Linked DNA regions of Kluyveromyces lactis. Each later gene encodes a partner of the first gene's protein in a complex. Links are inferred from orthologs where the notes say so. Each region holds a gene or a part of one and is shown in the gene's direction. Other genes may lie near its edges.

The links.
Region 2: TEL2 (region 1) and TTI2 share a complex: the UniProt entries of both Saccharomyces cerevisiae proteins name them as parts of the TTT complex. The link is inferred for Kluyveromyces lactis from reciprocal best matches to the Saccharomyces cerevisiae genes TEL2 and TTI2.

The regions. Positions count from the first base shown.
Region 1 is NC_006040.1:1,280,609-1,284,691, forward strand, and holds TEL2 (Tel2p), read left to right. Parts: upstream 1-1,286; coding exon 1,287-3,287; downstream 3,288-4,083. Other genes in the region: ESP1 (separase), read right to left, coding at 1-986; HOB2 (Hob2p), read left to right, coding at 3,665-4,083. UniProt on the Saccharomyces cerevisiae protein: Part of the TTT complex that is required to stabilize protein levels of the phosphatidylinositol 3-kinase-related protein kinase (PIKK) family proteins. Required for telomere length regulation and telomere position effect.
Region 2 is NC_006038.1:366,665-370,132, forward strand, and holds TTI2 (Tti2p), read left to right. Parts: upstream 1-1,515; coding exon 1,516-2,799; downstream 2,800-3,468. Other genes in the region: KLLA0_B04004g (pseudouridine-5'-phosphate glycosidase/carbohydrate kinase family protein), read right to left, coding at 1-1,239; protein transporter TIM8, read right to left, coding at 2,979-3,242. UniProt on the Saccharomyces cerevisiae protein: Component of the ASTRA complex probably in chromatin remodeling.

The DNA.
Region 1 (4,083 bases):
CTCGAGGATGATTTGTTTAAGGCAGCTTGATACAAAAAAGGTCGTAGAAGTGCATCGATCTTACCTGCAGAAAAACTCTGGAGGCGCAATTGATTTCTTATTTCCGTGCAAACGTCCTTACCTATAACATCAGTCCTCAAAAATTCGGTCAAGTTCACTTGATCGTTCTCCATATGTTTCGTATACTCATCATAGTATTTCGGTAAATAGATGTGGCAGTTTACAGATATATCCTTTCGAAGTAATTTGGTAATTTGTCTTTGAAACGTCGAAGAATCCATATTCTTTATGTAATTACCAAATTCGAGTTTGAACTGATTCACATACTGAACGAATTTGAGTCCAAACAAAGGCTTGAATCCAGTTAGCAATGTAAAGAAGTTTAATATTAGCTTCACCAAAGCGTGGACTTTCACATTAGGGTCTTTCAGAAGGTATCGCGTATCATGAGCAAAGCATTCCAAAAGACTTTCCGCGTGTCTTTCTGTCGTTCCTGTTTTCAATATCAACTGCATTGTTATTACTTTTAATGTTGCTAAGTAATTCTCATTGCCCGCAGAAAAATCACTTAACAAAACGTCATCAATACCTTTGGCCTTAATTAAATTGGTTTCGTTGTATAGCATTAAGATCTGATTGCTAGCTTGTGTCAATTTGTTTCTCTCCATCAAAAAAATAATCCAATTCATATGCTTTTTCGGAAGTTCCTGAAGTTTCTTCAACTGATGACGCCAGATCAATTGGCGATATAACTGAATGAAACTATCATTTACTTGAATGTAGTTCTCAAAATCTTTGCTCTTATTATCCACAAAATCGTACAATTTCTTCCAGTCAATCAGGGAGTTGGTATTATTCTCCTGTGCTGTAGTTATCTTCGAACTATTTGACGTAGCCTGCCATTCCGTATCGTATTTTGTTGATCCAGCGTTTAACGGTCTTCTAACTCTGTTGTCAACTTTCATATCACTCAAGACACCTTTCATTTCGATATGACTGCTGTCTGTTTCAAACGTACTACAGTATGGGCTAAAGCCTGGCTACCCAATATCCACGAAGTTGGCGGGCTGATATGTGTATAGTCTCTAGTTCTTTCTGCAATCTGCCACTTTCAAGTACAGAATCTAATATGTAAACAAAAACAATTCTTTATTTGTGTTATTGTAAAGATTGACATTTAATATGAGATGAATAAAAGACTATGAGATGAAAACCTATAGATGAGACAAGCATTGCAAAGCTGCTAAAGTGCTGCTGACGTGATAGATTGTATATTATAGCGCACAATGTCCGGGATTGATAGTACTTTGTTGAATGAGAAATGTGATAAAGATACCATTTATCAGGTACTAGAACGAATGTCATCAAAGAAACAGCATTCTAGTAACGAAATACTCCCGATAATCAAGAATGTGGTACCAATATATCCATCGCTACCGAGAGAATTAAAGATGGCACTACGCAGGCTATGCGGTAATAATTACATATTCATATCATTGGTTATTGAGTATGCAAAAGAATTGGGTAAGAATCGTGAGACGTCAATATTCTACGGCTTTTTAACGGATGTTCTTAAGTATGAGAGTGATTGTCTATTCAATTACTTAGAGCATTCGTCAAGAAGAGATCTCCCTTTTATCAAATCGATTCTGTTTGGAAGCAGATGTTATAACGCTTTAAGCAGCAGTATTTCCATCGTTGAATATTTAAAGTTTATGAAGATGCAATGGGAATTTGTCTTTAAAGAGACGAAGCAATATGATAAGACGCATCTCGAAATGTTCGTTTCATGTCTACAGCTCAATATTCCTTATGGTGTTGATATATTCATTGAAGGGCTTGCTACTACTAGTGAATTTTCATGGAATGCTTTGATTATGATGTTATCAAAGGGGACCTCAGTTCAACAGAGGAGATTTTTCATGTATCATTTGGTCCCGTTCCTTGAAAAAGTAACTAATCCTGATAACAGCTCTACCATTTTCACACTACTATCCCAGTTACCATTCGATATCCCAACTAGCATAGATTGCTTCAAATGGGGAAATCCGTATTTTAAAATTGTTTACTTGCATGGTATGTCAGAAGCGAAACGTGCACAGCTCTTCAGAGAATTACTACCATGTTTTGAACTGATGGATTTATACACAGATGATTCACTCGCTGAAATCTTGGTAATGATATTAGATGCCATGTCTAAGGATTCCAGAGATGAACTATCGCATGATGCAATTTCCTTGAATTTTGTCACCAAGAGACTTCATTCTGAGGATCATCTGGTTAGGGAGCGTACTATGTTTGTTGCCAAGAAACTTACAAATGATCAGCTTCAATATGAAAGCGATTTTACAATCGATTTGCCTCGAATTGAACTAATCAAGCTATCCAAACTTGAATTTCCCATTAAGGAAGGACTACAAAATCTGCCAAAAGGGAACTCTACAAAGAATGAACTTGTACAGCAATTTAATACCATAACTTTGCAGGACAGTGACGATGAATCTGATGAAGAAGATTCTAGAGACATCTTGTTCCTCAAAGATCTTTTGCTGGAATTCGAGAAAGTTATCAAGAATGATGGGTCCGAACTTAGATTGCTAAAGGAAACTGTGAAGTTAGTACGACAGAAGAAGAACTTCCCAACAGAAGTATCTTTTTATTCTAAAGAACTCCTCAAAAAGATAGCCACCATATCGAACAAGTTTGACGAAAAATCATTTGAAGAATGGAAGGCTAATGCATTAGTTAGCATATTGGTTGTATGTCCAGACAAGATTGTCGATCTTTATGCAATTCTCTTCAATAACGAGTTATCGTTGCAACAAAGGATGGTAATCTTGACATCTGCAGCATTGAGTGCAAGGGAACTACGGGGTTTTGATGATGAATTTGTGGTGAAACCTAAATACGATTTTCCTACTAATCGATTACCATGGGATGAATCGGCCACTGAACAGCAACCTGAAAATAATAAGATACAAGATATTACTGAAATAACAGGAAGCAAGGTTACTTGGAGATCAAAACGTTTAGAGACTGATAGTAAGATTACACAACAGCAGAATAATTTTAGGAAGTACGCTACACTCTTCTTCTATCCCTTGGCACATGCTTGGTTGAACGGAATTAACCTTGGTGCATTCGATAAAGTGTTCAAGAGACACTACATATCTATGCTCAAGATCATTTTAACTTGTGCAAGTCCTCATTATGAGCTAGAAGAGATGCAAATTTTGATGCAAGAAATCCTTTCGGATGCTGTGAAACAACAAGTTCAAACCTCTTAAGACTCATTGAATGACAAAATCTGGGGAATTCAATGGAGCCTATGGTTAGAGGAAAAAAAAATTTTCATCAAATTACTACCTGCACACGCAATGTATATCTCGACATATTTGACTTCATAACCTATTTACACTGTTAAACCGTCTCGAGCGTGCAACCAAAGGTTTCATTGCTTTCCCATAAGCAGTTAACGAGTTTAGGTGCCCCAGCGCATTGGTCACGTGATTTCCCGAAGCTTCTCTTTTAAGGTAAAGAAAACGCTCAAAAGTTCGGAATAAGACGCTGATCATTACAAACAACCATTCACTTCTGCTCACCGCCAATCTACCGACACGTTAGATCTGGGTAACAAGTAGCTACTTGCGTCAGCCAATGAAACATGGGATATGATATTATATCGCTGTTATTCAATGGCATTAAATCAATTCTGGCATTGATGACGATACTTTTCGTTACGCAACAGATTATATTCAATCTTGCGTTACTATACTTCAATGCTAGGATTGTCATTTCTAAGCTCCAGATTGGATTTTTATTTGGACGAAGCATTTATTGGTTGCATCTTATTTACAAAGGCTACAGTTTTAAGGTACGGAAGGTGTTACTACTCTCACTTTTTTCTAAGATTGAATGTTGGGACGTAAATGTGGTATGTGAATTTGAAGAGCATATACCGAAGGAGATATCGGATAATCAAGATATTAGTCTTCTGATACCTATCAGCTTATCCAGATGGAAAGTGCTATGTAAGCTTATGCCAATTGAGCTTCGTTTGGTAAACGTTAATTTCTCATTACC
Region 2 (3,468 bases), on another chromosome or scaffold:
TAGTGTGGTTTGATGTTGAGAGCTTCGATTACTGTAGTTTGCACTTAACGCAACGTTGTGTCCAACTCCTCCAATAGAGGTTGACGCTTTCCCAGGATTAGAATCACCTTGGTATATATGTGAAGAATTGAAAGTGCACTGAGTATCAAGAGCGACAGAGCCAATTACCGCAGATAGAACCTTTGTCTCCTTTTCATTGCCTGAAGTTTCCTGGCTTGTCATAGTTCCCCGTTGATTTTTAGGCTCATATCTTGGAATAATGTTTTGCTTTAGTTTAGATAGAGAAGCCGCTATATTTGCTGCAATTTTACAGTTGTTCAGTACAAATGAAATATTACATTTAACAGACGCTCCTGAAGTCTTTGAAGCTATCTCCCTGAGTAAAAAAGGTGTTAACTCTTTACCACTAATACCTGCTGCTGCTGCATTTTGGCATGCTTGTTCTATTATATCGTTAATGAAGTTATCATCCAAAGCCACTTCTCTTGGAGGAGGGCAACAGAATAAGTAGCCCGAATTTAACCCAAATTCATTACCATCTCGTATAATTTGTGCAGCTTCCAGATAAGAGTTAAAATTATAAGGAGATTTCACTCCTGAATCTCTAGTATAGAAACCTGGAACATTCGTCCCCGGGGGCCCCATTGTAGCTACCATGCATCCTTTAGTCTCTAAATATTCCATAGTTCTAGGGATATCCAATATTGCCTTTGGGCCTGCACACACCACGGATACAGGAGTTCTTCCTAATTCTTCTAAATCAGCACTAACATCAAGAGTTAGTTCACCGCCTTTATGAACGCCACCTAGTCCCCCTGTAGCAAATACTTCAATACCTGCCTTGTGGGACAAGATCATCGTACTCGATATTGTAGTGCCTCCATAAAGTTTTTGAGCAATAGTATAAGATATATCACGTCGAGAAACTTTATTTACCAGACCCTTCCTAGCATACTCTGCTAATTGTTCGATTTCTCTCGTCTTTAATCCAACTTTAGGGATACCATTAATGAAAGCTGTTGTTGCAGGTATGGCTCCGTTGTTCCTGATTTCTTGCTCCACCTTCAAGGCCATCTCTATATTTTCCGGGTACGGTAATCCATGTGATATTATGGTGGATTCCAATGCCACTACGGGCATTTTGGCATTCAATGCCTCCCGTATTTCATCAGAGACAGACAAATGCAGCCTTCGATGACCTATCCTTTGTACATGAGACCTCACTGAAGTTCGTAGCATCTTGTCCAGCAGTCAATGCTATCAGTTACCAGAATCACAAAAACACTCTTCAGCGAAGAACAACACTATCAGATAGCCTCAACAGTTATCTTCTCTGTTCGACGACATTATATCTTCTTCCGATATCACATAGTTTTCAGATCCATTTATTTTATATGTCATATTTTTGAGAGCTCATCCCAAATTCAAGCATATTGATGATCGTTACCAAGCCTTGCCGAAAAACCTCAAAATATAGCATTTCTAAGGCCAATCTAGAAGCCAATCGATTATACAATGAATCAACATGTGTTGAATTTTTTATTAAACCTTGAGGAAGACAAATTGAGTGTTCCAAGCAAAGATTCAGTAGAACAATTGATTATTTTCTATGATAAGAATATAAACGTTGAGAATAAGGAAGAATGGTTTACCAAAGGATTGGTCAGCTTGTCATACTTTTTGTTAAATGAACACTGGACAAGGTACGAGCAAAGAGATAGAGTAACACATCTTATAGATAATTATTTGGACCGAGATCATGATTTGGTACATTCCTTCATTTCTGCATTGAAACCAATGTTAATAAAATCGACCGGGATCAATAATGATAATTTAACCCCTTCAGGCCGCCGTAAGATTGAAAGCTCCAGACCTGGCCTACAGCCAAGATTAGGCTTTGAACAAACGTTTGGTGAATCAAGATGGAAAGAATGGAGGACTAATGGTGGATTACGAAGTATTGGGTTATTTTATATTATTTTGAGACACTTAGGGAAGCAGGAAATTTCTGCAAACCTACCCTGGATAAGTCCAGGAATACTTAATATAATTGATGACACTACATTAGGGCCAGAAAATGTGAGAGTTTATGGAATTATGTTGCTCTGCACATTACTAGAATCAGTGTTGAACAAGCGAGATACATATAATTTTAATTTCAAGGATACCGGGCTACAAAAGGTATACGAGCCAATATTGACAAACCTTTTATACAACTTACCACCATCCTCAACTCCAGAAGAGACGCTTCGCACATGGAAAGTGACATATCCTGCGTTACAGCTAATATTGAGAGTAGAAGCTTCAGATAACGATCAAGATTTTAGAGATAGATTAGGGCACATGTTTTCTGAGAATATATTACAACTTACTATTCCAAGAATCGGATTAGACTACCCTGGGCTCTCTTTGTGGATTCTTGGCTATTGTCAAGATGTTGTTCTGATGTTGGGGAAAGAAACAACATTATATTTACAGCGTGTGATATACGTTCTTGGGGAATTCTATTTCAGGAATGCGTTCATGACATTACAAATGCCAATTTTACATAAGTGTCTTGATCTATTGATATTACTCTGTGATCAATGTATTCCAGAGAGTATAGTCAATCAAAGGTATGATATCCTAGCTTGCATTCTACTATGCTATGAAAAATGTTACAACGAGGGATCTTTAACAGCAGATGTCTTAGACAAATGTAAAGTATTATTAGCTAAACTCGAATCATTCGGATGTGATTTCAAAGAAGAATCAAAGAAACTGAAGGAGCGTAAATCTCTTACTAATTTATTTGCATAAATACCTATCTAATTCATCACATAAAGAAAAATACTAACCCTGTAACTTAGCAATCCGAAAATAAAACGAACCAGGGGCGGGGCTCACTGATATATGTACAAGAAGTGGAGTCACACAACGAGCTTTACAGGTTCAGGTTTAGCAGGCGCTACATTTTCTTTTCACATCGCGGAGTGAAATTATTGAATAGATTGCAAACCCTTAACAATTCTGATATTTGTGTCCAAAAATCTGTTAACACAGTTGTTTAGGCATTGTTCTTCTTGAGAAGACAAATCAGCATTTTGAACGTTGCTAATACAGTTTTTGAAACAAAGATTGGTGAACTGATGAATAGACATCTGTACTTTTTGCTTGGAATTCTCGGATTCTAAAAAGGTCATGATTTCTTTCTTGGAACCATCATCCAAGTTAGATAAATCGTTTTGTGAGATAGAAGACATTCTTTGTATATATGTGTGGCTCTTTCCAAACTGTAAAGCGGTGCTGGTAACTATAGGATTGGCGTATTGTTTAAAATTTATTGAAGGTTTCCATCGCTATTTCGCTGTTTTGTTCTTTGTTCAATTCAGTTTTCAGCTTTTTTTTTCTTTTACTTTTTTTTTAGGCATTAAAGCTTTACAAGAAGGCAACCTCGATCAACCAAAAGCCTTGAAATGAGGGAAACTT